2 linked regions of the Sus scrofa genome follow. The protein of the gene in region 1 interacts with the protein of each later gene in a pairwise test. Links are inferred from orthologs where the notes say so. Each region holds a gene or a part of one and is shown on either strand. Other genes may lie near its edges.

Region 1 (14,774 bases):
GGGAGCCCCTGGCTGCTGAGCTCAGGGGGCCACTGGGCCACGAGTCCTGTAGCTGCTCTATGAGGTGAAGCCCCGAGTGCCTGTTGAGGTGCGGGGCGTGCAGATGCCGAGGCCCCGTGGCCGTGGCCGGCCCTGCCAGGGGCCCCCCGTCCAGGGAGTGAGGGACTGAACAGGCCACGTGGGGACCCAGGGAGGGGTGAGGCCTTCCACAGGGAGCCGCTCGTGAGCGCCAGGACATCCCTGTCCTTCGCACCCACCGTCCCTTCCTTTCCTCAGTGAGTCTGTTCCAAGGTGCCAGGCCTGGCTCAGATCCCTTAGCGAAAGCCCCTGCGGGCAGAGGTGCCTGGGGAAACGAGGAGCAGTGGTGAAGCGGTGCCTCCTGCCCTGAGCTGGTTTGGTTTTAAATCTGAGCCCTACCCCACGGCTGCCTGCACCCCTGCCCTGGGTGCCCTCGGCAGGTCAGCCTCCTGGGGGCGGGGGCTCTACTGACCCGGCGGCCCTGCCCCCAAACCCCACCACAGCTGGAGTTGGCCACGGCCAAGAACGACATGAACCGGCACCTGCACGAGTACATGGAGATGTGCAGCATGAAGCGGGGCCTGGACGTGCAGATGGAGACCTGCCGCCGGCTTATCACCCAGTCTGGGGACCGGTAAGCACACCCCCCCCCGCCCCGAGTGTGGGCCCCTCTCGGACGACGAGCCCTGAGACCCTCCAGCAGTGACTTAGGCACTTGTCACGAGGCTGCCCTTTGAAGGTTGCCTCGTTTGTCTGGCCCAGGCTGGCAGCTTTTACTCCCTCAGCAGTTGGATACTTAGGTCCACTCACGGCTGCGCAGCCCAAACCTCCCGATGCCGCCAAGGCTGGTGGTTCCCCCACTCAGAAAGGCAGTTCTCGCTGTGGCATGGTGGGTTAAGGACCTGGCATTGCCACAGCTGTGGCGTAGGTCACAGCTACGGCTCAGATTCGATCCCTGGCCCCAGAAACGTTCATGTGCTTCCGGTGCCACCCGCTGCCCCTGCACCCCTTAAGGGCAGCTAAGAAGTCCCCCGGTGGCTCGGTGGGTTAAAGATACGGTGTTGTCACTGCTGTGGCTCTGGTTACAGCTGTGGTGCAAGTTTGATCCCTGGCCCGGGAACTTCTGCATGCCATGAGTGCCACTGAAAAAAATAAGAAAAGCAGCTAAATTCTGACAAAGAGTGCAAGGGGGTGGGGGCAAAATTTTATCTAAAGTTAGAGCCACAATTTGTGCCTTTGACTCTGTGTAAGCTTTGAAAAAAATCGTAAAACTAGGAGTTCCTGCTGTGGTGCAGTGGGTTAGGAACCTGACTGCGGCGGCTCAGGGGGCTGCAGAGGTATGGGTTTGATCCCTGGCGGCACAGAGGGGTAAACGATCTGGTGTTGGCACAGGTGTGGCATGGTTCAGTCCCTGGCCTGGGAACTCCCATATGCTGCACTTGCAGCCATGAAATTAAAAATAAATAAATAAATAAATCACAAACCCGCTATAGATAAGCATGGAGTGGGGGCCACAGAGCCAGGGCACTCAGCCGGCCCCTCTTAACTGTGACTTCACATCTTTCTGAACTCAGCCTCTATTCAGCCTCTCCTGGTCCCCAAGTTAAAAGTGGGAACTGTTCCCCCCATCGGGGTGGAGTGGGCAAGGTTTCCTCTTCCCTCCCTGCCGGCCTTGCCCTGCATCCGCATCCGCCCTTGTCCTGTAGTCCTCCTGCCCCGCCTAAGATGTTATTCACCTGCCTGCCAGGAATAAGGCCAAGGGTGCAGGATGCCAGCTTGTCAGGATTCTTGCATGCCTGGAGGAGGTTACAACTGGTGTTTTTTTCTAGAAAGTCTCCTGCTTTCACTGCGGTCCCGCTTAGCGACCCGCCGCCACCGCCAAGCGAGGCTGAGGACTCCGATCGCGATGTCTCATCTGACAGCTCCATGAGATAGGGACCTCGCGCAGCGGGGCCCTGCTGGGACTCACCGAGCCTGGCCCCTGGGACCGGGCGCTCCCCCGGCTTCCTCCCCTGGTCCTCGGCCTCTCTAGGGTCCTGGGGTGCCTGGAGTGAGGCTCAGCCCGCCCTTCCCGGGCGACTCCCTGCACAGCCGGCTGTCCTCCTTCATGCGTGGGTGTCCGCTACTTTCCCATCTTTAAAATGCTGCCAGAGTGCTCGCGACCCTCACCCCGTCCTCTGAGTAAGGAGTGTGATTGTCGGCTCTTCCTTCCACCCCGGTGGTCTTGAGCCAGCGGACCGTCCTGATTCTGTTCTGGTGCTCACTGGCCCAGGTGCTGGTACGGCCTGAGCAGCGGGAGAGGGCGTCCCTCTGTGTCGCAGGGGCAGGGAACAGGACTGGGCGGCTCTCTGCCCATGGACAGTGGAGTGACGCGGCCATGACCCTTCCCTCGTGGAAGTGCCACGCGTCTAGGCGGCCTCTGGGGCCGATGGGGTGCAGTAGCATGAGGGGACAGGAGCTCCTGCAGTCTCCCAGTCACTGCCGAGGGACGGAGAAAGGTGCACGTGAGCGTGTGTGGGCGCATGTGTGCTCCTGTGCTCAGGGGTCTGTTTCTTCAAGCATCAGCCGAAGATGCGCCTCCTCCTCCTCCTCCTCCTCGTCTGACACACGCCGAGTGAGAAGGTGGCCCAGACTCAGAAAAGCTTGGAGAAAAATGGGGAGACGTGACTGAGGGTACCTCGGCCTTGCTGGCTGAGGCAGGCTGTGCTGAACTGACGTTTGAGTGGAATCTAATCCTAATGAAACTGGCGAGTATTTATTGAACGCTTTGGTGTCACTGTTTCCAGCAACTTTTCGGTGGTGGCTCTGGTCCCTGTTGTGTGGTGTGCACTGGTGATCATTGCACAGACACACAGGGTTACAAGCAACTTGCCCAAAGTAATGGCACCTCAAGTAGCAGAACCAGGGCCTCCATCCAGGTTGTCAGTGCTGTCTCTGCTTCTTCCCACTAAGCCTGTGCGCATTCGCAGGTGACAGAAGACATGGAAATAAAACCACCCCAACCTTTCCCTTGGGCTAACCTACTGTAACTTCTCTGAACAATCTCTGAGCTGGCACTGGCACAGCTGTACCACAGATGGCAATCTCTTGGGCACTGAGGCTCACAGCTGTGACAGGGCAGAGCTGGAATCCACTCCTGGCAGTCAGGCCGTAGCCAAATGGACTTCCTGTGCCAGTGCCCCCCTCCAGGGAGCTGCAGACAGAATGGTGTCTTGGGTGCAAGCAGCCAGGCCATTCCTGGGTTCAGCCACGGCAGTCTGGAGCTGTAGCACCCAGAGGCCTCACTAAGGCAACACGAGGACAGGTGGCTCTTCAGAGGAGCCCAGGGTGGAGTTTCCTCAGCAAGCTCTAGTTCTCCTTGGCCCCAGCCCGGCTTCCCTCCTCTTTATCCCAGGCTCTAGAGTGAGAACGACAGGAGGCTGGGTACAGTGTACTTTATTGATGGTACATGACGAGGCAGGTCTCCCTAAGCCCCTCCCCTTCTTCCGGGGGTCTGGGATGGAAACTGGAAGTCAGGAGATGCTCGGTGTGTTGGGGGATCGAGTTGGGGCTGTGACTCCCCAGCAGCTGAGGGCCTCTCTCCTCCTCGCGTGCTCTTGCTGGGGTTGGTGGTCCAGGGGCTCTTACTCCTTGGAGGCCATGTGGACCATGAGGTCCACCACCCTGTTGCTGTAGCCAAATTCATTGTCGTACCTGAAAGGAGAGCAAGAGTTAAGTGTGGTTTTCCCGAGCAGCCACCAGGGGGCACCAGACTTGATCACATTCTGAAGCATCATCCCTCCCCACCCGCCACATCCCCCAGCACCCTACCAGGAAATGAGCTTGACGAAGTGGTCGTTGAGGGCAATGCCAGCCCCAGCATCAAAAGTGGAAGAGTGAGTGTCACTGTTGAAGTCACAGGACACAACCTGGGGAAGGAAGAGGGCCAATTACGGAACCCAGTCTTGGTCAGTGGGGTCGTGTGGACACCAAGTTCCCTGACCTATCAGTACCTGGTCCTCAGTGTAGCCCAGGATGCCCTTGAGGGGGCCCTCGGACGCCTGCTTCACCACCTTCTTGATGTCATCATATTTTGCCTGATGAGGTAAAAACCGATGGTTATTCAAGTACCAATCCTACAACCCCTCAGCCCCCCAAAGCTGTTCCAACCCAAACCTACAGGTTTCTCCAGGCGGCAGGTCAGATCCACAACCGACACGTTGGGGGTGGGGACACGGAAGGCCATGCCAGTGAGCTTCCTGGGGACACGAGGAAGCAAGCAGAGTCAGCACCACCCCTGCTGGTGCCCCAGACACCCAGGGCAGGAGAGCAGCAAAGAGCCTCACCCGTTGAGCTCAGGGATGACCTTGCCCACAGCCTTGGCAGCGCCGGTAGAAGCAGGGATGATGTTCTGGGCAGCCCCTCGGCCATCACGCCACAGCTTCCCAGACGGGCCATCCACAGTCTTCTGGGTGGCAGTGATGGCATGGACCGTGGTCTGGAGACAAGGAGGGGGAGTGAAGGCCCTGCCTAGCGCTTGTGACGCCTCCTCTGGGAAGAACTAAGGGACACAGTGCTTGGAACCACCCCACCCTACCCCTCCTCTGATGTCCTGAGCCCCTACAGCTCCGGGCTGAGCTCTGGGAGGGGAAGGATCCAGTCCTGGGTGAGGACAGAACGTGCTCTGGCTCAGTCCCCATCACCTACCATGAGTCCCTCCACGATGCCGAAGTGGTCATGGATGACCTTGGCCAGGGGTGCCAAGCAGTTGGTGGTGCAGGAGGCATTGCTGAAACGAGGGAGGCAAGTCAACGGGCAGGTCCACGGGGTCCCGCGCAGCATGACCCCCCCCGCCCCCTCCACCAAGCTCACCTGACGATCTTGAGGGAGTTGTCATACTTCTCATGGTTCACGCCCATCACAAACATGGGGGCATCGGCAGAAGGGGCAGAGATGATGACCCTCTTGGCCCCACCCTTCAAGTGAGCCTGCAGCAGAGGAGCAGTCAGACACCCGGGCTTCCCCTTTCCTGGTCCAAGTCAGCCTCCCCCAGTCTCCCCGCTACACCAACCCCGCGGTTAGGTCCCCTCCTCTTTCGGTTCCCTGCCGCTCACCCCGGCCTTCTCCATGGTCGTGAAGACACCAGTGGACTCCACAACATACGTAGCACCAGCATCACCCCATTTGATGTTGGCGGGATCTCGCCTAGAAGGGAAGACAGGACAAAGTTCAGGGGCGCGGGGGACCACAGACCCAAGGTGGTCACCCCGTCCCAGCACCACCTCCTCCAAGGCAAAGCTCTTCCGGTTCCGTCTTCCATACTTACTCCTGGAAGATGGTGATGGCCTTTCCATTGATGACAAGCTTCCCGTTCTCCGCCTTGACTGTGCCGTGGAACTTGCCGTGGGTGGAATCATACTGGAACATGTAGACCTGGGGGGGACGAGGGAGGGCATCAAGGGGCTGCGCCCTGGCAGGCTCTGTCCCCGCCCCCGCCACGGGGGCCACTCACCATGTAGTGGAGGTCAATGAAGGGGTCATTGATGGCGACAATGTCCACTTTGCCAGAGTTAAAAGCAGCCCTGGTGACCAGGCGCCCGATGCGGCCAAATCTGAGGGGGACAAGAGGCGAGGAGGGAGGAGTGAGCTCTCCTGGAGATGTAAGCAGTCCCAGGCCCACGCGCCCGCTGTCAGCGCGGGCACTTTCCTACCAGGAGATCTCATTTCCTCCTCCTCGCACAACCCTGCCAGACCAGCCTGGCTTCCCAGCACAGCCACAAAGTGAAAAGCTCCCATCCTGCCCAAGAGGTGATGAAGCTCCGAGACAGGCCCACACCCCCTGGTCATCTGAAATCTGTTAAGGGGTGACAGGGTGGTGCACTGCTGCTGCCACCTACAGTCTGGGCACATGGCCGGCACATGGCATTCCTCAGGCCCACTGTCGGTAAATGCTTGTTCCTATCTGGCCAGCTTCAGGCCACACCCTCTAGGGAGCAAAATCTTGCACACTTGGCATCACCCAGCTCAAAGGGCAAGAGCAAAGGTCAGAAGTTAACTGGCCAGGGAAACCCCCCCCCTTCCCCAAGTCCCTCCTACAAAAGGGAAAGCCGTTTCTCAAACCCAGAATCCCGGGCTTCTGATTTGTTAGGAACCTGTCTTTGTTAGCTCTTTTCCCAAAATCAGGAGTGGGAGCAATAGACGTGTGGGGAGCGGGGGGGAAGGAGAGGGAGAAGCCCAGGCCCCCAGCTGCAGAAAGGTCAGGCAGCTATATTTAACCCCAGCTTAGGGTGGAGTGGGGATCTGGTTTCTGGAAGAGGGGATGGGGAGAAGGGCAGGATTCCCGAGGCTCACGGACATCTAATCCTCCTGGTGACCTTTACAGCTTGGCCTTTAGGGTGGGGTCAACCCTAGGCATGGATGGAAGGAAGCAGCTTCAAGGAGCACTGATGCAGAGACAGGGGCTGCGGCTCCGCCGGCTCCGGGAGCCATTTTGTGGAAAATTTCTAAGTACCCATGACTCAGCTCCCCCGGCATGGCACCAAGCCAACGCTACCACACCTCTCCGGAGAAAGAGAAGGGAAACAACCCGGAAACAACCCAAGACCACCCCCATAAAGCCCCGTTTTTGATTCATCAGAGAACCATCCAGAAAAAGCATCCCCTCATCCCCGGGGGGGGGAATCTGGCTGGGGCTTGAAGGGATGCTCTAGGGTTAGTTTGCTAAGAGCTGAGGTCCAGCTGACTAAGAAGGGGAAAGCGTGGCCGGACCTGGGTTACCGGATAAAGGAGACTCCACCCCACGAGGCAGGGGTAGAAGGCTTAGTCATGGGCAAGTAAGGAGAAAGATTGAAGGACTCAGGAAGATTTCCTAACGGCGGTTCATTCATTTCCTTCCTAGTTGCAACATGGCGGCTAGGTTACCGCAGATGCCCCCTCCCAGCTGGTTCTGCACAGCAGCTGTGCCTCCTGCATCCCGGGGCTGCCCGGCTGGGGGCACTGGTTGCGGCTGGGGGGATGGGCTCCTCCCCTTCACGTGACCCCGCAGGGCGCGAAAGGAAAGAAAGAGCCCCAGCTGGGGGATTAGGGGATGGGGCCAAAGCAAGAATTGGAGACTCCAGGGCTGTGTATCTGCGGCAGGTGAAGAGGAAGGCTCCGCAGAGGCGGAGTTACAGAACGCGCAACAGCCAGGGATGGGGGACACGAGGCCTTGCGAGGGCCTCCTCCAGGTCCGAGCGCTGACCTTGAGTTCTCCTTGGGGGTGGGGTACGACCACCCCATCCAAGTCCCCCACATGCTTGCACAGACCCGGTAGGGCGAGACCTGCGGACGCAATTTGGTGGGGGCTGCAGTACTTACTGCCCCACCCTGCCCCACCCCCTAACTCACCCGTTCACTCCGACCTTCACCATCGTGTCTCAGGGACGCGGCTGCCGGCAGAGGAAAGAGAACATTAGATCGCGGGGCAAAGCGGCTGGAGCCCGACGGTGCCCTCCCCGCCCCTCCCCCAGGCCTCCATCCTCGCTCTGCTCTTCTGCACGTCCTTCCTCCCCCTCAACCCGCAATGCAGGGGCCCGGCCCGGCGCAGCCACAACTCCGGCTCCAGCCGGGGCCCCGCACCCACACTCCCAGACCGCGCACGGCCCCCGGTCCCTTTCGGACCAGTCCTCGAACCCTTGTGGCTCCACTCCGCCAGGCTTTACCTGGCAATGCACGGAACACACGGCTGTCTGTCGAACGGGGAGGAGCAGAGAGCGCAGGGGAAGGCTGCAGCCGGAATTTATAGGGCAGGGGGCGGGGCGGGGGCGGGGTGACGTGGGCTCGCCTCGCCCAGTCCTAGCTCCAGCAGCGGAGGCCTGAGCTACGTGCGCCCGTAAAGTCGCGAGTAGCCGACCCCCACTTCTTCTTTTTTTTTCCTTTGGACCCGCCTGGTTCTGCCAATGTGCACGCGCCACACAAGTGGGCTGAGGACGGAGAGGGGGAGGGGACCGGTGATGCTGCCTGGCCCGGTTGGGGTTGTACTGCAGGGGGCAGTGGACTAGGAGGAGGGGGCCCTGGCGAAAACTGAGGACACCCAAGGAGCCAGGGACGTTAAAGTTGCTGCAGGGATGTAACGGGAGGATATGGGGAGCCAGTGGGATGGGAAATTGGAGCGGAACCCGGGGTTGGGGGCGCGGCTCGCAGCTCGCGGCTGCAGTCTCCCCTACCCCCCCCCCTTCAAAAGCTGAGAAGCGGGAAGATTGAGGAACTTCTCGAGGCTCTTCGGTAGTGACCCAGGAACTACAGAGGAAAAGGCCCGGGAGGGGCCTCCAGCAAGGCCCTCTCCAGCCCCCTTCCCCTTTCCCCCCTCCCCTTCTCTTGGCTCCTGGCCTCCCCGGGCTGGGGACCGCGGCTGGCCCTGGCCAGTGGGAGGCCTGGAGAGGAAGGAGGCTCGGAAGGAGGCCTGAGAGGGAAGTTTCTGCACTGAAGGTCACGATGCCCTGCAGGACAGGCAGCCTGGACATCTGAGAATCGAGCAGACAAACCAGGACCTGTGTGCACCAGCTGCTCTCCCCCAGGCCCTGGCTGGCTGGGGCCTCAGCGAGGGGACAGGATCGCTTTGGGGGGCTGGCCAGGTAGAGGCTCAGAGGTCTCCCACAAAGTTGCTCCTGGGAAATTTGAGGGCTGAGCGGCCCGGGCTGGGAGACAATGTCCCTTTCACCCCATCCAGCCCTGGGCAGAGCAGGACGTGAGAGCGGAAGTCCCTCCCCATCCTGGGACGTGCAGGCCAGCCCTGCAGTCAGGGCCTCCCTTTCACTGGCTGCGCCCAGGGGATGTTGGGGGCAGGGTGAGGTGTCCATAAGAGGGAAAAGATTGGGAGGTCTTGGACACAGGGTGGGGACAAGGGCCCCTAGCCCCTTCCCAGACGTGATGTGGAGGAGGAAATCCATTCTTCTCCAAGACCAGTCCCTCAGAAGCTGGGGCTGGGCCAGGTTTGTGAGCAGAGGATGAAAGATGGGTTGGTTCTGAGGACTTGAAGTGTTGAAGGTTCAGGGAAGGTGGGGGGAGGGTGGAATGGACGTTGCCCATTAGCAGGTGCTGGTGGAAGGAATTGGGGCCTCTTTGCTGGCCCAGCGTAACCTGAGACCAGCCCCCTTTTCCAGCTGAAAAGCCTGTGGCTAAGTTTAGCCCGCAGGATGATAACCTTTGCTTAAAAGGCAGAGAGCACGCTGCCCCGCACCCCGACTCAAGCCTGTCCTGTCCCTTCCCTTTCTGGGACTGCCCTCCTTCCTTGGGGCCCCAGATCCAAGGCTGGCTGTTGCTGGCAGCCATGTGCACAGTCGGTGCCCAGGCTTTTCAAGAGCGGCAAGAGCAGGGACTGAGGGCACTTAACGGTGAGGGAGGCGGGATGCTGGGCACTGAGGAATCTGCTGGGGAAGTGGAGCACCAGGATCATATACTCTCCCTGGCAAGGGCCTTAGGAGCCCCTCCACCCTCCTCTGCTCCCCGAAGCATGTTCCCCTTTGCTGCATGCTTGTCATTGTTCATTACTGTCCTTTGCTGAAAAAAGAGGGAGCTCAGTGCCCAGGGAGCATGACTGACGCAGTCTGCTGTTGTCATGACAGCAAAGACACCAGTGTTGTCATGACAGCAGCCTCACTGCCTCCGCTTCAGGTGACTCAGCAGAGAAATCTTGGGGGGCAGGAGGGGGTGAACAGGGCCTGCAGCTGAGGGGCTGACATCCTGCAGACCCTGTAAACGTGGTGCCAAATCCCTGGGGGATGGTCTCTACACTGTCTAGAGCTGGAATTAGGGGCACAAGCCAGGGTGGGCAGGACAGAGCAGCCAGCCCCTGGGGAGGAGGGTTTCTCAACTTCAGCACTCCTGACATTTTGCATTGATGACTCTTTGCATCAGACCCGTCCTGTGCATTGTAGGATATTTAGCAACACCCCTGGCTCCTACTCATTAGCTGCTGTTAGCACCCTCTCCTTGGCTGTGACAACAAAATAGTCTCTGGATATTGTCAAATGTCCCTTGGAGGGCAACACTGCCCCCAGATTGAGAAGCGTGGATCTGAAGCCTAGGCACTGCCTAATTCTGCACAGCGGAGCAATCCTGCCACGTGTGCAGGGTGTGGAGGTTGAGAGGCAAGGACGGGCCAGCAAGGGACTCGAAGCTCATCAGATGCTGGCACAGGCCCCAGACTCCTGGATCAATAACCCTCTGTCTGCTGCCTGCCTCTGGGCTAATGTGGGATGAAACACAGACAGGCTTAGGAAAAACCTCTAAAAGTATATAAAAATATTTATTCATTAGAAAACAAAGAAACTGGCAAACACACATTCTGGAAAACAACTTGACTTGGTTCAGTTAGGCTTAGTTTAGCAAAGCCTAACATTATAAAGACCATTTACACATTAAAAAAAACCAAGGAGACAGGTAAACACGTATTTTACAAGGGGAATGGAATTCAGGGTCACTCCACAAGACACCTGCAGGGCTGGCTGGGATGGGAACAGGTAGGACACCTCTAGGATCTTTGTCTGTGAGCAGATGCTCGGCGGATGGGGGTGGTTTTCTTGGGTGTCTCATCTTCCATCATCTCTGCTGACAGTTCTATTCAAAAGAATTGGGGGAATGAGACAAAGCTGAGTCACAAAGATGGTGAAAAACGGGTCTTAAGAGAACGAATGGGACAGTCCCTGACCACACTGCCCAGTGGGGGGAGGACAACGTGGGGGTGGGGGACTATGTGGCAGGCCTGCCATCAAAGCAGGCCTCCCTGCAAGCTGTGCTCGCTCTGGGCCAGGTCCAGAAAGGGGCACCGTACCCTCCTCGCTGGACTCGTCGCTCGAAAAGACAATTCTGAGCTTCTTTTTCGAAACTTGCTGCTGGGTGTTTGGATGCCGACGGGTAGTACGGCGGGGCTCAGGTGTGACAAAGTCATCGTCTGAAGCTGCAGAGGCCAGATGCCGGTGTCTAGAGACTAGAAAAGGCAGAGGCATGAGTTGGAAAAAGAAAAAAGGAACTTCTATCAGCGAGGAGGCCCCGCCTGGTCTCTCCCAAGGCACTGCCTCACATACCAGCAGGTAGTTTCTTGGCTGATGGGGCTCTCTGGCTGCCTCCTTGGCCCATCTCAAATTCCTCTATTGCATCCAAACCTCTGGTGTGACAGGCCCGAAGCTTCTGCTCAAATTCATCTATTACAGCCTGGAGGAAAAAAAGATTAAAAGTAGGCCTGGAAATAGTTATTTCTTTTTTTTTTTATCTTTTTGCCATTTTCTTGGGCCGCTCTCGCGGCATATGGAGGTTCCCAGGCTAGGGGTCGAATCGGAGCTGTAGCCACCGGCCTACGCCAGAGCCACAGCAACGCGGGATCTGAGCCACGTCTGCAACCTATATACCACAGCTCACGGCAACGCCGGATCCTTAACCCACTGAGCAAGGGCAGGGATCGAACCCGAAACCTCATGGTTCCTAGTTGGATTCGTTAACCACTGAGCCACGACGGGAACTCCAGGAAATAGTTATTTCTAAGATTAAAAAGAAACAAGGCAGTGATAAGATGTGGAGGAACTTTAAATCTGTATTACTAAGTGAAAGAACCCAACTGAGCAGGGTACACGCTGTGATTCCAATGCTGTGACATCCTGCGAAAGCCAACGCTGTGGTGACAGGAAAAGGATCAGTGGCTGCCAGGGCTGTAGGAAGAGGGCTGAACGGGGAGCAGAGGGCGCTGGGGCAGGGGGACTACTCTGAACGAAACACACAGCACTGGGCACAAGCTATTCATCCAAACCCATAGCGCGCACCCCAGGAGTGAACTGTCCTGGAAACCGTGCTCTTTGGGCGCTGTGACATGTCGAGGCAGGCTCACCCACTGTACCATAGGTCTGGCTCTGGCCTCTGGCGGGGGTGTGGGTAACTGAGGAGGCTGTGCCTGCGTGGGAGCATGGGGCCTTTGGAGAAACTATACCTTCTACTTGATTTTGCTTTGAACCTGAAATTGCCCTTAATAAAGTCACCAAAAAAAAAAAAAAAAAAAAAAAAAAAAAAGGAACAAAGAAACAGGAACTGGAAAAAGATCCCAGCTCAGGTCATTCTGGTTACTTGGTTGCAACCAGCTGGGTTTCCTCAGAACAGCGGCTGGAATGCAGCAGGCGCCACTCACCTTGCCCTCCGGCTTGGCTCCACGTCGCAACTTGCCTACAACTGACAAAAAGGCACTAAAGATGGACTCGTCTGATAGTTTATCTCCAAAGCAATCAAAGTTGTCCAGCATCTTACGGAGGCCCCGCTCTGTGAGGGGCAGCTGCGACACGCAGTAGGCCAGGTCCCGGTACTGCCTCTCAGTTCTGCGGGTGGGAGGGCGTGGTGAGGAGCAGGGGGATGGAGGGCAGGCCCATGCCTGCCCCGCAGTCCCTCCCAGCCCAGATGCCACCGTGCGCTCTTTTCCTCTGGGCACAGAGAACCCTCCAGGAGGCAGCATACCGGGCTGTGCGGAACCGCTGACAGAGCTTTTCCACCAGGCTCTCGGTCTGCTTGTCCTTGGTGATGTAGGAGAGGAGCTGCCTGCAGGAGGGGAGATACCAACGGGCTGTCTCCAGGGGCGGCTCCGAGCCCAGCCCCAGGCCCGGCCCAGCCTCTGTCATCCTCCTGCCTCAGCAGCCGACTCTTCCCTGCCCTGGCCCGTCCCTGGCCTCTCCTGTCCCTCAGGGAGGGGTCCTTGCCACCCTCCTGAGCAATTTTCACTGTGACTGGAACTTTAGGACAAAAGCAGCGATCCTCTAGTACTAGTATGTGCTTACCCCCATTAGGAACTTTCATCTTTTTTTTTTTTTTGTCTTTTGTCTTTTTAGGGCCGCACCCACGGCATATGGAGGTTCCCAGGATAGGGGTCGAATTGGAGCTACAGCTGCTGGCCTACACCACAGCTCACAGCAATGCCAGATCCTTAACCTGCTGAGTGAGGCCAGGTATCGAACCCATAGCCTCATGGAGGAACTTTCATCTTACTGAATCTTCTTAAGGACTAATAAGGGGCAAGCATTTAGGGGCTCGTTCTATACAGGAGGAACAGGCACAGAGAGGCTGTCACTGCTAGAGTCCACACGGCTACAGAGACACAGAGCCGCAGAGCCAGAATTCACACACAGGTTTGTCTGAGTCCTAAGCCTGCGCTACATGGAAAACGTGTCCCAAGGCCCAGGGAAGCGTACTTCATGATGGTGTGGAAAGGCTCTTCCTCCACCCCTCCCTCGGGAGCCGACAGGCGGCTGATGATATCTGGAAGGAGGTTATAGATGGCGTTGCCCTGTAAGACAGACAGTCACGTCACAGAGAGGAGACCTGCGTGTTCCCTTGGCAGCACACCTGAGGCTGCTCCCACCTCTTACCTTGTGGGAAAGCTCATTAAAGAAGTTCTTGGCCAGGGCAGCGATCTGAGGAGCGGGGTCGATGAGCAGCACGGCCATCTCGCTCACCTGCCCCTTCACCTTCACCATATCCTTCAGGATCAGGTGGGTCATCACCAGCCCGGCTGTTTTACGCACTTGCTGGGCCGGGTCCCGGAGGCTAGGAATGAGATCTCAAGTCAGTGGGACCAAGACCATGGGCTACACCCTGACGCTGCCCTGGAGGCCCTCAGCAGGAATCTATGGCCTCTTTGTGTTTGGCTGCACCTGTGAGATGTGAAGTTCCCAGGCCATGGATGGAACCCGCACCACCGCAGCAACCCGAGCTGCTCCAGTGACGGCACTGGATCCTTAACCCACTGTACAAGAGAACCCCACTATGGCCTACTGTGCCATTCTAGAAGCAATTAGAGGTTTTCTAGATTTAAAAGCTGGGTTTAAGGAAAAAGACCAAGCCTATTACCAAGGCTTTAGACAAGAGGCGTCAATCCCTTTGGGGCCACACTCAGCCAGGGCCTGCGCAGGTCAGGTATCAAGCAGACGTTCAAGGGAAGGCTGGGGACCAGGGGACATAGTCCTGGTGATTCTCGCCGACCTCACCCCAGCCTCTGGGGCTGCCAAGGACAGCTCAGGCACTGTGAAGGATCTCTCACCGAGCATATAGATGAGGGGTCCAGGGGTCCACCAGGTTGGGGAAGCGGATGGCCAGATCCCCAGTAGCAATCATGAGGTTAGACCGAACAATGGGGAGTGAGGACTTTTCTAGCATGGTGAACAGAAGACGAAGCTGGGAGTCACAGAAAGTGGCACTGGGGGCAAAGAGAGGATCGTCAGGGAATCCATACCCCTCTACACACACCCCGCCCAAGGCGATACCACCTCAGGGCCTACCTGATCATACAGAACTTGCCCAGGGCAAGTGAAGCAGCTGCACAGAGCTCTGGGTTGCTATAGAGACCAGGGTTATTGCAGACTTTGAGGAGAAGTGGAACGAAGGCAGCCAGGGTCTGTTTGCCTAGGGGAAGAACAACTCTAGGTTTGGGACAGGCTAGCTACTAGCTGGGGAGGTCACTCTGCAACCCATCTCACCATCCAGCAGCTCCAGCTCACAGATGCCGCGGATCAGTTCTGCCTCGGTGTCATCAGCAGTGGCCCCAACCAGCCCCATCTCCTCCTCCATGGTGGCCTCAGAGCTTGCATCCTGATGGGAAAGCAGCCAGGAATCACGGGTGAGCAGACAGTTTTGATTCCAGCCTATTCTTCCTTTCACATGAATGGCTCTGGGGAAAGGCAAATTCTGCAAAACCATTTATAGGCTTGTCACGTGTATCTGAAGAGGAGGGACTCTTGAATTAAACAGAAAGGAACTAGATCCCTTCCATT
Region 2 (14,490 bases), on another chromosome or scaffold:
CCATTCTAGCCAAACTAGTACTTTTGGGTCCCGCAAAAAAACACCACTAGTCCAGACTCTTAACTTTCACCTCCTTTAACTCACAAGATCAGAGCTGAAACAAGCCTCATTTAGAGCTATTACGAACTACTTATCTTCTAAAAAAAATGAGCTGTAGGAGTCCTCATCGTGGCTCAGTGTCATCAAACGCAACTAGTATCCATGAGGACCCAGGTTTAATCCCTGGGCTTGTTCAGCAGGTTAAGGATCTGGCGTTGCCATGAGCTGTGGTGTAGGTCACAGACTTGGCTCATATCCCTCGTTGCTGTGGCTTTGGTGTAGGCCAGCAACTATAGCTCTGATTCGACCCCTAGCCTGAGAACTTCTATATGCCACAGGTGTGGCCCTAAAACGACAAAAAATAAATAAACAATAAGATGTACTGAGACAGAAATTTGTATAAGTCATTCTGTGTACTTGGTGTCAGTAGCACTTACAAAACTATCTTATCCTCAATTACATTAATCTGGGGTGGGGGTAGGGTTCAAGATCCCCTTCTACAGACCCAGTATTGGCAGCACTCTGAGGAGATGCGTTCTTAAATCTAAACTCTTAGTTAGGATAAGGCTGTCTCATTCCAGCAGCAAATACACTGGGCGGAGGTGGGGAAATACCAAAAGCCACAGCCTTGGGAGTTCCTATTGTAGCTCAGCGGTAATAAACCCAATCAGTATCCATGAGGATGCAGATTCAATCCCTGGCCTCACTCAGTGGGTTAAGGATCCAGCATTGCTGTGGTTGTGATGGAGGCCAGCAGTTGTAGCTCCGATTCATCTCCTAGCCTGGGAACTTCCATATGCCACAGGTGGGGCCATAAAAACCAAAAAAAGAAAAAAAAGCCACATCCTTACAAATTCAAAGGATGGGATCAAGTGCTTCAAGACTTTATGAAAACAAAGGGAGTTCCCATCATTGCACAGCGGAAACGAAGCCAACTAGGAACCGAGAGGTTGCAGGTTCGATCCCTGGCCTCACTCAGTGGGTCAAAGATCACAGCGTTGCCGTGAGCTGTGGTGTATGTACATGGCAGACACGGCTCGGATTCTGTGTTTCTGTGGCTCTGGTGTAAGCCGGCAGCTGTAGCTCCAATTAAACCCCTAGTCTGGGAACCTCCACATGCCACGGGTGCAGCTCTAAAAAGCAAAAAAAAAAACAAAAAAAAAACTTTGTGAAAACATGGTAATGATACTATATAAGAAAAGAGCTCAGAGTTCCCATCATGGCTCAGTGGTTAACGAATCCGACTAGTAACCATGAGATTGTGGGTTTGATCCCTGGCCTTGCTCAGTGGGTTGAAGATCCGGCGTTGCCCTGAGCTGTGGTGAAGGTTGCAGACGCGGCTCAGATCTGGCGTTGCTGTCTGTGGCTGTGGTATAGGCTGGCAGCTGTAGCTCTGATTTGACCCCTAGCCTGGGAACCTCCATATGCCTCAGGAGCGACCCTAAGGCAAAAAGCCAAAAAAAGAACAAAAAAAAGAAAAGAGCTAGAGCAGTGAAAAGGAGGACCTACACTCTAGCAATGCTACATTAAAAAAAAAAAACAAATTGAATCTGCTCAGTCACAGATTTTACAAGGACAGACTCACAAAAACATTATCTTTGGGGAGATTTTTTTTTATATTTAGGTTTTTGGAGGATTTTTTATTGGGTTTTTGGTTTTTTTTTAGGGGAGCACCTGTGGCATGCTTTAGTTCCCAGACTAGGGGTCAAATCGCAGCAGCAGCTACCAGCCTACACCATAACAACAGCAACGAAGGATCTGGGCCACATCTTTGACCTACACCACAGCTCATGGCAATGCTGGATCCTTATCCCACTGAGCAAGACCAGGGATCAAACCCACATCCTCATGGATACTGATCAGGTTCTTAACACACTGAGCCATGTTGGGAACTCCCATTTTTCTTGGTCTTGGTCTTTGCTTTTTGCCAGGCCATGCGGCAACTTGATGTGAGGACAACCAGAGCTACAGCACTGAAAACGCCAAGTCGTAACCACTAGACCATGAGAGAACTCCCACAAAAACATTCTTTGATCCTGAAACAATGAAGAATCTTGATATTTCACTTCAAACTCCCTAGCCCTAACTCCTCCTTTAAAATAACTTTTATATTAAACATTTATATAATTTGGTATTTGGTGACTACAATTCTTACAAATAGGGCAACCACATCACACCACAGAATGGATTCTTTAGAAGATAGAAAGTATTAATTGTTATCTGCCTATTGTCTTCGGTTAAGTTATCTTAGTCCAATTTTTATTTCCCAAATCTCAAAACTTGTTTAAAACCCTAATAAAACAAGTATCATCTAAAGAATATGGTCTTCTCCCAATAAACGACTGTCAAGAACAGCCCACTTCTCTAGATGGGAGTCTCGATCTTTTTTGGTTGTGCCCTTATACACCTAGGAGATGCTCCTACATTCCTTTAACAAGTTGACTCAGCAGCAGTGAGCGATTCTAAATGAGCAGGGCAGGAGCTGGGAATACGCAGCTGAAACAAAAAGCCTTTACAGTCTCCTCCCCAAGCCTTTCCACTACCCCACCACACCCACCCACAGTAATCCAAAGACTGCAAATGCCCTTTTTTTGTTGTTCTTTGCCTTTTCCAAGGCCACTCCCGCGGCATATGGAGGTTCCCAGGCTATAGCCACCAGCCTATGCCAGAGCCACAGCAACACAGGATCCGAGCCGCGTCTGCGACCTACACCACAGCTCACGGCAATGCCGGATCCTTAACCCACTGAGCAAGGCCAGGGATCGAACCTGCAGCCTCATGATTCCTAGTCAGATTCGTTAACTGCTAAGCCATGACATGACAGGAACTCCCCATAAAGACTGCAATTTCTTAAAGAGACATAAAAATTCTTTTCTTATCTGGTAGACTTTGTTCCTTCCATTCTCCCCACCCCACCATTCTGCTGTCCTATTAGCAGGCGACCTGGCTTACCTTCCCCATGTTTATCAGTGAACTGGAAGGCCTGAACTAGTCTCAGAGTCTCATCCACGGAGCGGCCAACAGGAAGGTCATTTATGGTGATCTGTCGAAGAATACCTTTATCGTCAATGATAAAAAGGCCCCTAGAGAGAAAACAGTCAAGGTATGAGGGAGACGGCAGTTTTAGAATCGGCTCTGTTAGAGCAGAGCAGAAACTGAAATGGGGTGGTCTCTGGCACTTACATGGGCCTTCCTTCCCCTTAGGCCCTCAGGCCTAAAGAATGAAATGAGACCATGAACGATCAGTGATGTACGTCAATTCCCTCCACAAAACAGGAAAAAAATGAAATCAGAATTCTCTACAGATCAGGGCTCTACCTTTCCAATAAAAACCTTGAGCCAATCAGATGACTCTCTTGCTGACTGTCAGTCAGCTCCCGCGCAGGTTTTTACCTGAATGAGATGCCTTCGTCGGCCTTCAAGACCCCGTAGTCCTGCGCAATGGTGCGCTTGGGGTCTGATATCAAGGGAATGTTCATGGGTCCCAGTCCTCCTTGCTTCTTGGGGGTGTTGATCCTACAAGCAAAAAAATCAATCACATTCATTCAAATTCTTCTGTAGCAAAAGCATTAACTGTATTTATTCCTTCCCATTTCCAACCTTCCTAATCTAACTCCCCAAACGCTGCATGCTTTTCCCAGCAAAGTAAACAGCTAAGGACAATTAAAGTCACCAGGGTACATGCAGTCTCAACCCAAGCTGCCAGGTAATAAGAGAACAACAAGAGGAAGTCAAAACACCTTTGCACTCCTTCCATGAGGAGCCAGAGGCCAATACTTGAGAAAGTCTATTGCCAAAGCTGCCCAGTCCCGGTCACTGCTCAGTTCAAAAGTCCACGTGCCAAATGGACCAAGAGATTTACCAGGCCAGATGACAGAAGTGAGAATCCACAGAAGCACCAATCACTTGGCAGTTGAGTTTCTTAAATTCTTCTGCCCTCTCACTGAAAGCAATGATCTCCGTGGGGCACACAAAGGTGAAGTCAAGTGGGTAAAAGAAGAACACCACGTATTTTCCTGGGAAAAAAAAAGGAGCCACAAATTAGCCTTCGAAACAGACTTCTTGCTTCATAGACAATGAAAACCTAAAGACATTTTATTTTTGTGTGTGTGTGTGTCTTTTCTAGGACCGCTCCTGCAGCATATGGAGGTTCCCAGGCTAGGGAGCCAATCGGAGCTGTAGCAGCCGGACTACACCACAGCCACAGCCACACAAGATCTAAGCCGCGTCTGTGACCTACACCACAGCTCACGGCAATGCCACATCCTTAACCCAGGGATCGAACCCGAAACCTCATGGTTCCTAGTCAGATTCATTAACCACTGAGCCACGACGGGAACTCCCAAGAAGCCTTTTTAAGTTGATTTCCTACGCGGCTCAGTGATAACCAGACTAGTAACCGTGAGGATGTGGGCTCCACCCCTGGCCTCGCTCAGTGGGTTGTTAAGAATCCGGCATTGCCATCAGCAGTGGTGTAGGTCCCAGACCCGGCTTGGATCTGGCATTGCTGTGGCTGTGGCGTAGGCCAGTGGCTATAACTCCGACTGGACCCCTAGCCTGGGAACCTCCATATGCCACAGATGTAGCCCTAAAAAAAAAAGAAAAAAAAAAATTTCTCCTAGTAGGTAACAGGATTTCTAGCTGGAATTTTACTAAAGTTACTCTACCAACCTGCCAGGCAGCCTCTCACCACACCTAATGGGCTGAGCTGTTTGGAACAATTTCAAATATTCACTTATTTCCAAATAGCATCAATGCTTGAAAATCATAACTAGCTGTTCCTTTTTGAACTTCACTTTGAAAGCTAACACCATTCATCTAAACAAACTTCTCCAGGGCTCTGCCTAACAAGCTTCAGCAGGTCAAGCCCTGGCGGGCAAAGAGGAGCTCTTCCAAAACCTCATGGCTTTACCCTTGGGCCTGGGTCACCTCCCTAAGGTGCTACTTACTTTGTTTGCCAGGAGAAGCCTCCCTCCATAGGGCCCCACTGACCTGCTCGTGTTCCAACCCCTATGTGAGATGTGCTAAGAAATCTAGTCATAAGATCTACCCAAAAGCTAACTCTAGGAACTGACTGCTATACCACTACAAAAGGTATACTTGACACCTGAGTTTCAGATTTGCATTCCAAGGAATCTATATTTTCAATTGTCTCAGAAGGCCCTGCTGCTCCAGGATTGCAAGGTTTAAAAAAAAAAAAAAAAAAAGGCCTCATGAGAATGCCAGGTGTCTACAATAAACTATAACAGAAAGGAGCTGTTCCAACTGTGACATCAACTCTTTTCTGAGGGCAAAGTAGTCAAAGGAATGTGCCTAAGCTCTCTGCCTAATAATACAGCAATTGTGACACATGCATTTCACAAACTGAACAGGCAGACTCATAGTTGCCACTATTTGAGCACTGAGATTTTAAATTGTTGAAGGCATCTTACAACAAGATAAAGAGACTGAAAAGCAGTACCAGGAAGATAATCAAGATAATATGTCCAGACATAATGAAGCGGTTGGGACTCAGGACATCTACCCTCTGACCACTGAGGATAAGGACCACTTCAACTCCACAGGAGACAACAGCCTCCTACCCCCGAAGACCTAAGAGACTTTAAAAATCACTTTACAATCAAACATGACAAGAAATTCAGAAGTTAAACAAGCCATCTCTAGACTGTATTATAATTCCATATATTGAAGCGAAGAGAATTACTTTTACCTTTGTAGTCAGATAGGCTGATATCTTTGAACTGACCATCTGGCATAACAGCAGTTGCTTTGAAGTGGGGGGCACGGTGCCCAATTTTGGCATTTCCTGAAGACATATTGCTATCAGCTGGAAAAGATAAAAAAGCAAATTAGAAACAAGCCTTTCTTTCTAGATAACCAGCAACCTTCATCTCCGTAGAGACTTAACTGTAGAACAATAAAGGAATTGTCCAGTGGTCCTGAATATACATTAACCTTTAGAACGCTAAGAAGCATGAGGCAAGCTTTCCAACTTTTCAAACAAAAACATTACAGATCTCTGAATCTCAGCTCATTTTCATTTGAAAATAGCAATTTCTTTGTAAACTGAAGTTAAACTCTTGTTTTTTTCTGAACCATCACTTGTCCAATTGCATGTTCTTCTGTATTTTCATTAGACAGGTGCACAGAGAGAAGGAGGTGGAAACTCCCAAACCTAGACCCAAATGCACAATGCCATGAACACTCCGTGAACACTGAGCACCCGACTCTGAGAAGCTGCCATGTTACCCTTTTCTCTAGCCTGAGCCTTTGGAACACGGGAAGCACACTTAACCTTTTCCCGGTAGATGTGCACACACAGCACACACCCTAAAGCCAATTCAACTTCTGAGCGGCAAGACCAGGAGTCTGGCATGTGCTCAATTTCAAAACTTTAAGTGTTGTGTTTAAGGCCCAAAAGTCCTTTCAAAAATGGGTTTCTGACCTTGGGACTAAGATCCCGGGGCAATAACAAGTAGAACAAGAGTCAATTTCTTATGAAAAAGCAATGCTGCATTGGATTCACCCAGGTCAAGGCCAAGATAAGACGTCAAGATTTAACCCCATAAGCCATCGATTTGAAAGACCCAAAGAACTAATTTTTCAAGTCCCAAAGTTCTTGGTTCATAAAACCACAACCAAAAGAAACGTTGTGAGCATCGACTGTCAAACTTTTTTACTGGGTTAGCACCTTTAAATAATAAAACAAACAAGAAAAAACAACCAGTAAGACACGAAGCAACTTGGCAACCAAACATAGTATATGACCCTAACACTAACGGCCTTCTGGTCCAGACCTGCTTTTCCGGGTGCCCCCACGTCCACTAAAGCACAACCAATGGGGGGGGGGGGGAAAGGCTGCAGGACTTCCAGCCGACGAGGTCCCCTCAGGAAAGCTCCCCTTGAAGTTCCCCGGAGAAAACTACGGCCCCCCCCCCCGAAAGGCCAATTCAAGTGGTTTCCTGCCACCCCCATCGTCCCTCCGCTGCACTTCGGAAGCACCAGGAGTCTTCACTAACGGCATTTAGAATCACCACAAACCCCATTCTGCACATGGAAAAAGATGGAGAAGGGAATCAGGACCCACGGCTACACTGGTGAGCAGGCACAGCCTCTTCCCCTCCTACACGACGGACGGGCAGTCTGTTTCTGACCAGTTTCTGAATCCGTCTTAGAAGCTTCGGGAACCCGTCCGCCCCGTAGGGGACCCCGTCACCACCCACCCGCCCCGACGGCCCCGCCAAGCCAATCAGCGCCCTCTGCTTGAGTTGCCGGGGGAAGAGGGGACGCAGGGCGCGGGCGGCGTCGGGGTTCAACCAGGCAGCTGTCCCGCAGGCAAAGGGGGTCCCATGTGAGGCTCCCTCTCCGGCAGAGCGTCCCCCCAGTTAAGCCGGGCGGGCCGGGAGGAAGAGAAGGAAGAGGAGGAAAAGGCAACGAGAGAGGAGTGGGGCGCTGCGGTCGGTCGGCTGAAGCCGCGCCGCCCACAAACTCACCAGTCCTCAAGCAGAAGCCACCGAGCGCAGCCAGGAAGCAGACACGCGAAGCACGCGCGGGGCGCTGCCTTTATAGCCCGTGAGGCTCTCGCGAGAGTCAGGGCGGGCCGGGGGTGCGGGCGGGGGAGACGGAAGGGGGATCTGGCCCCAGCACCGCCCCGACCCAACTCGCCCCGCCGGGATGACTCAGCGCTTTCCTTCCCTGGGGGCGGGCTCGGGTGGAGACAGTACCAATCCCCTCCTCGCCTTCGAGGGTTGAGGTGTCCGCGGAAGGCACCTTTTAGATCAATCACTTTCCTTCCCGATGCCTCCGTGAATCCAAGATTTGAGGCGGGGCGGGGGTGGGGGAGTCCGTGCGCCTTGCCCTTCAAGCCCAAACCTGGGTAAAGGTCCTCACTGCTGCCCACGGAAGACCCCCCCCCATCGGGCCGGAGAAAGATCTATCCAAATATTTCTCAGATATTCCGCCCAGATTCCCACAACCTCTGCTCTAGTGCTGATCTCAGTAACCCAGATTGCTTAGACAGCCTCCCTTAATTGCTCTGTCTGACAGCAGGATGGCTGCTTTTCCATCTCCCTCTATGGGTTCCTACCTCTGCCTTCCCTTCCCATCCATTCCACTGCAGCTGGAGGGACTCTGAAATCTGACCATATTACTCACGCCTCTAATTTGTGGTTCCGAAAAACTGATCCTGTATTCTTGAGTTAAAACTCCTCACTGTCATTCTGTGTGACCTTCATGCAAGAGTCTTAATCTGTTAGCCTTACTCTTCTCCCCTGTAAAAATGGGAATGCACCACGAGTGTGGCCAAAAAGAAAAAATAAAAACAAGTAAATCCTTAAAAAAAAAAAGAAAGGGAATGCTATTAACTCTTTGTTGAGATCATCTCTGTAGTTTATTTAGCACAGTACCTAGTTCTTTGCTCCTCTTTGTAACACCCAGAACAGAGTGTAGCTGTTTCACGCCTTCAGGCTCTTGCTCAAGCACAAAGAACCTGTTCCTATTTGGCCTAGAGAAAACGTATCTGAAGATAGCTGAAGCACTACTTCCTCTGGAACTCTTCTTTCACTCATCCCCAGAATTAACCATTCCCCTTCATGCCCAAACGATAACAACAACAAAAACCTTTTAGGTCATGGCTCAGTGGTTAACGATTCCGACTAGGAACCATGAAGTTGCAGGTTCAATCCCTGGCCTTGCTCAGTGGGTTAAGGATCCCGCGTTGCCATGAGCTGTGGTGTAGGTTGCAGATGCGGCTCGGATCCCGCGTTGCTGTGGCTCTGGCATAGGCCTGTGGCTACAGCTCCAATTCGACCTCTAGCCTGGGAACCTCCATATGCCGAGGGAGTGGTCCTAGAAAAGGCAAAAAGACAAAAACAAAAACAAACAAACAAAAAAACCCACAAACCTTTAAAGCTAATTTACTTGTTTATGTGTTTACCTCTCCTTATTAGACTGACTTTCTGGAGGGTAGGGTTTGTTACATCCACCTCTGATTCCTCAAGTCACAACATAACAGCTGATATAAAATAGGAATGTTAAAAAAAAAAAAAAAAAAGGAATGTTTAAGAAATAATATTGTGTTCCCCTTTCTGCCCCCATCCCCCATTATTCTCCTAACTCCATTGGACCTTTATAGCAGGATAAGAAAGAGGGAAGTGCTGTGTCATGCTGGCTGGGCATCTCAATATTTGGAGGTATTTATCATCCTGCCATCAACAGAAGTGATTTTTTGTTTTTTCTTTCTCTGAGGCAGAACTGTTACTTGGGCATTATTCATTTCCTTTTTTTTTTCTTTTTTTTTTTTTTAATTGCTGTGGCCAAGGCTTTAGGGCTTTCTGGGGCCAGGGTTCTGCCTGTACCACAGCAGTGACCCGAGCTGCTGAGTGACAACACCAGATCCTTAACCCACTGCACCATAGGGAACTCATTTCCTTTTTTTTTTTTTTCCCTTTACATGTCCTTTTTTAATTTATTATCTTGAGTGTCATTATTGGCTCCCATTAGAAATTGTATTCACTGGTCTATGACTGATCCCAGGTGTCAAAACCAGCAGATATTGGATGTCCACAGGAAATCTGTAAAGCAATCATAGTATTCAGCTCATTTTATTTATTTATATATATATATATATATATTTTTTTTTTTTTTTTGGTCTTGTTTCGCCATTTCTTGGGCCACTCCGGCAGCATATGGAGGTTCCCAGGCTAGGGGTCGAATCAGAGATGTAGCTGCCGGCCTACACCACAGCTCATGGCAACGCCGGATCCTTAACCCACTGAGCAAGGGCAGGGATTGAACCCAAGACCTCATGGTTCCTAGCTGGATTCGTTAACCACTGCGCCACGACGGGAACGCCTCAGCTCATTTTAGAAGCAGGAAAGGGTCATAGGAACGTGCTGTACATGTGTATTCTGACTGCTCTGTGATTACCACAATCCAACCTGGATTTTTTTTTTTAATAGTTATTTCCCCAATACAATTTTTTCCTACTGTACAGCATGGTGGCCCAATTACTCATTTCCTTCTTGAGGAGGCAGGGAGACCTAGAGGGTGAGAGCTTAATAGTGGATGGTTATTATTATGGGTAGGTTAAACCAACAACACATAGTCCTACTTCAGCCAAAAGAAAATTTCCATTTATTGTATCTACCATGCGCCAGGCCCTGGGCTGGGCGCTTAGGCTTACATGTCTCAGTTAAGAACCACAAGAGTGGAGGGAGTTCCCATTGTGGCTCAGTGGAAGCAAATCTGACTAGTATCCATGAGGACGGAGGTTCAATCCCTGGCATTGCTCAGTGGGTTAAGGATCCAGCGTTGCCATGAGCTGTGGTGTAAGTCACAGGCGCAGCTTGGATCTGGCGTGGCTGTGGCTGTGGCTATGGCATAGGCTGATGGCTACAGCTCTGATTAGACCCATAGCCTGGGAACCTCCATATGCTGCAGGTGCGCCCCTAAAAAGCAGAAAGAAAGAAAGGGAAAGAAGAAAGGAAGGAAGGGAGGGGGAGGGCAAGAAGGAAAGAAAGAAAAGAAAGAAAAAGAAAGAAAAGGAAGAGAGGGAGGGAGAGAAGAAGGAATACGCAAGATGCGTTTCCTTCAGCAATACCCTTGGCACTGTGTGGTCCTGATACTACTGCATACCGTAGTCCATCGCCTCCTGAGTCCTGCATCCCTACACTTGCCAGCACCTTGTGATGGTGCCTTAATTCTCCCACTGCCTTTCTCTGTTCAGTCGAGCAGGAAACTTTCGTTCGTACAATGTCCTTCGACACCATCCGACCCTCACGTAGCTTAAAGCAGTAGTTGCATCACTGCACTGATTTGCTGTGGTAAACACTGTTGACAGACTGACCTACCAGCCATCGCCCCCTTCTTCATAACTAACTAGAAGCAACAGGTGAGGGCAATTCAGTAAGCGTAGAAAGCAGATGTCCTAGAATGGTGATCATTTTACAGCAAGGACTTACTAACCTAAGAGCAGCCTGTCATGAGAAAAATTATAAACCATTCAAGTGAAACCTATGAACCATTCACGTTAAACCTACAAACTAGTAAAGCTAAAGGCTTTAATGTGACGAACAACAAAGGCAATCATGGAAATAAAATCCCAGGGCAGCTCTCAGCTATGGTGATGAGGACACCCAGTTGATGCAAATTAGGCTTATGCTAATTTTTGTAATTATTGTTGAAAGAAAACCACTACATTTAACAGCTCTTGAAGAACGCTTGAATCCTTTAGTTTACAAGCATTCAATTTGTAAAATTATATTTGGAACACGCAAAGACCTGCAGATACCAATTTGAGAACCATTGCTATCCAGAATAATATGTTTGCTAGCATTGAACACGGCTTAAGTAACAGATTAAACTCAGAGAGCAAGCTCAAATAGGAGATTAATTTTTGCCATTTCACAGTTAAGCAGTTGAAGGCTGTTATCACGAACCCAGACTTACACTTTTCTCTTCTCAAACCCCTAGCATGCAGCTTTTATTCTTACACAATGTTACAAAATGTCTGCTCTACATCCAAATGCATCCATATATTCCAGGCAGGGAGAAGGAAAAAGGCAGCCACAAGTGTGGGGGGGACTCTAAAGAGGAGGCCGAGCAGTCCCAGAATCCCTCAGGTTGCAAAGCATTTACTCAAGTGTGTCACGTGGCTGCTTCTAATCCCGAAGGGAGGCTGGAAATTGTGTCTATCAGCTGAGATTCTGTTAGGAGAAAAGGAAGAAAGGATATGCTGTTAGACAGGCAAGGGATCTTGATAAATTTGAAAGGAGAGACAGGATTCCTGACTGTGGCCTATAAACATATGGAAATGCTAGGAAAAAAAAAGAATCTGAGTTGTTATTTTTTTTTCCCTACCCTTACTAGAGGTGGTAATTTGTTTTATTAAATTGCCTTCTATTTATTTGATCTATTTATTTGGGGGGCTGCATCTGTGGCATGCAGAAATTCCTGGGCCAGGGATTGAACCCATGCCAAGGCAGTGACAACACTGGATCCTTAACCCGCTATGCCACAAGGGAACTCCTTGCCTTTATTTATTTATTTATTTATTTATTGTCTTTTCTAGGGCCACACCCACAGCATATGGAGGTTCCCAGGCTAGGGGTCTAATCAGAGCTATAGCCGCCAGCCTACACCAGAGCCACAGCAACACGAGATCCGAGCCATGTCTGCAACCTACACTACAGCTCATGGCAACGCCGGATCCTTAACCCACTGAGCAAGGCCAGGGATCAAACCCAAAACCCCATGGTTCCTAGTCGGATTCATTAACCACTGAGCCACAACAGGTACTCCCCCTTGCCTTTATTTATAATAAAGCCCTCTGTGTGGCACATCTTCAGAGGGTAATATTCACGTTATATTCTATGTGAATCGTGCCCCTGGAATTGGGGAACACAGTCACGCTATTTCTAATAATGCTTAAGGTATTGCAGACCTTTCATAAAGTGATATGTAACTTTAATTGGTTACTTATACAATTAAATATTTACATATGAACTGTTACTTGCTCAAAAAAATATAGAACCCTAGCCCTTCAGAATTGGAAGAAACCCCTGTTAACTAATTTAACAATTAAGTTCCCACTAGGTACTATGTACTACCCTAGGCTCCTCCATGCCCTGCACTGACCATGGAGCTTCACATCCAACCTTCCACCCATTACAAGAATTCTTTCATCAGGAGTTCCCACTGTGGCACCACTGAAACGAATCCAACTAATGTCCATGAGGATGTGGGTTCTATCCCTGGCCTTGCTTAGTGGGTTAAGGATCCAATGTTGCCGTGAGCTGTGGTGTAGGTTGCAGACGCAGCTCAGATCCTGCGTTGCTGTGGCTGTGGCGTAGGCTGGCAGCTGCAGCTCCAATTCAACTCCTAGCCTGGGAACTTCCACATGCCACGGGTGTGGCTCTAAAAAGCAGAAGAGAAAAAATTCCTCCATCGATAGGCCTAACAGTTCCCGGGCCTTGGCTTGAACACCTCAGTGATAGCACCTTTCTGCCTGGGTTACCTTCCTCCAGGTGTTGGTGTCCTTGCTCTCTGTGACCCCCAGAAGTGGGCAGTGATTCAGCTGTGGAGGACTCTGTAGAACACAGGGGAACCGTCTCCTGTCTTTGTCTCCCCATCAAGTTCTGCAGTAGTTTGGGACACAAAAATAGATAACTGAGATCCCATGTAACTTCCTTCAGCCCTACTTTCCTCTTCATTAAAATGCTATGACAGGAGTCCCACCGTGGTTCAGTTCTCACTGGGTAACACCCCCAACTAGTATCCATGAGGATACAGTTTCCAACCCTGGCATTGTTCCGTGGGTTAAGGATCCATCGTTGCCACAAGCTTCAGCGTAAGTCACAGATCTGGCATTGCTGTGGCTGTGGTGTAAGCTGGCAGCTACAGCTCCAATATGACCCCTAGCCCTGGAACTCCCATAAGCCTAGGCTGTGGCCCTAAAAAGACCAAAAACAAAAACAAAAAAACACGGTATGACAGTTATCTCTGACATAGATTAAGTGCTGAACACCAGATCATTCCTGGAGTTCTCTTGTGGCTCAGTGGGTTAAGGATCCAGCATTGTCACTGCTGTATCTCAGCTCAGGGCTGTGACTCAGGTTCAAACCCTGGCCCAGGAACTTCCATATGCCACGGGTGCAGCCAAAGAAGAAAAAAGAAAAAAACACAAGATCATTCCTATCACTGTCATTATCTTCTGTGTTAAAATTTGTTGGTTTGCTTTCAACCCAAGATTTGAGTCCCTCAAAAAATTGGAGTTCCCGTCGTGGCACAGTGGTTAACAAATCGGACCAGGAACCATGAGGTTGCGGGTTCGATCCCTGGCCGCACTCAGTGGGTTAAGGATCTGGCGTTGCCGTGAGCTGTGGTGTAGGTTGTAGACGCGGCTCAGATCCCGCGTTGCTGTGGCTCTGGCGTAGGCCAGTGACTACAGCTCTGATTCGACCCCTAGCCTGGGAACCTCCATATGCCGCAGGAAGCGGCCCTAGAAAAGGCAAAAAGACAAAAAAATATATATATATATACATATATGTATATATGTATATACATATATGTATCTAAGTAGCTGTTTATCTAAGCTTTTTTTTTTTTTTTTTTTTTTTGGCTTTTTAGGGCCACACCCAGTCTAGGGGTATAATCGGAGCTACAGCTGCTGGCCTAGACCATAGCCACAGCAACATCGGATCCTTAATCCACTGATCAAGGCCAGAGATCGAACCTGCAACCTCTTGGTTCCTAGTCAGATTCGTTTCCCCTGCGCCACAACAGGAACTCCTGTTTACATAATCTTTATTTGAATTTGTCTAATCTTTACTTGAAATTACAACTTACTTCCACTTATATTTTTGGGTTTTATTTATTGATTTATTTGTGGCCACACCTAGAGCATGCAGAAGTTCCAGGGCCAGGGTTCAAACACGTGCCACAGCAGCAACC

The links.
Region 2: the proteins of GAPDH (region 1) and PRDX1 interact in a two-hybrid assay, tested with the Homo sapiens proteins (2 studies listed by BioGRID and IntAct, with this or other methods). The link is inferred for Sus scrofa from reciprocal best matches to the Homo sapiens genes GAPDH and PRDX1.

Annotation. Positions count from the first base shown.
Region 1 is NC_010447.5:64,126,242-64,141,015, forward strand, and holds GAPDH (glyceraldehyde-3-phosphate dehydrogenase), read right to left. Parts: upstream 7,780-14,774; 5' UTR 7,698-7,779; intron 7,425-7,697; 5' UTR 7,407-7,424; coding exon 7,384-7,406; exon of another isoform or gene 7,291-7,383; coding exon of another isoform or gene 7,238-7,290; exon of another isoform or gene 5,610-7,237; coding exon 5,510-5,609; intron 5,431-5,509; coding exon 5,324-5,430; intron 5,203-5,323; coding exon 5,112-5,202; exon of another isoform or gene 4,986-5,111; coding exon 4,870-4,985; exon of another isoform or gene 4,787-4,869; coding exon 4,705-4,786; intron 4,496-4,704; coding exon 4,344-4,495; exon of another isoform or gene 4,257-4,343; coding exon 4,178-4,256; exon of another isoform or gene 4,095-4,177; coding exon 4,011-4,094; exon of another isoform or gene 3,927-4,010; coding exon 3,829-3,926; intron 3,712-3,828; coding exon 3,642-3,711; 3' UTR 3,439-3,641; downstream 1-3,438. Other genes in the region: IFFO1 (intermediate filament family orphan 1), read left to right, coding at 522-652, 1,848-1,953; NCAPD2 (condensin complex subunit 1), read right to left, coding at 10,508-10,593, 10,808-10,963, 11,061-11,187, 12,149-12,332, 12,469-12,549, 13,197-13,291, 13,374-13,551, 14,045-14,200 and 2 more. UniProt on the Homo sapiens protein: Has both glyceraldehyde-3-phosphate dehydrogenase and nitrosylase activities, thereby playing a role in glycolysis and nuclear functions, respectively.
Region 2 is NC_010448.4:165,840,966-165,855,455, reverse strand, and holds the start of PRDX1 (peroxiredoxin-1), read right to left. Parts: upstream 8,067-14,490; 5' UTR 7,533-8,066; intron 7,464-7,532; exon of another isoform or gene 7,093-7,463; intron 5,867-7,092; 5' UTR 5,856-5,866; coding exon 5,750-5,855; intron 4,056-5,749; coding exon 3,902-4,055; intron 3,556-3,901; coding exon 3,433-3,555; intron 3,123-3,432; coding exon 2,992-3,122; intron 1-2,991. UniProt on the Homo sapiens protein: Thiol-specific peroxidase that catalyzes the reduction of hydrogen peroxide and organic hydroperoxides to water and alcohols, respectively.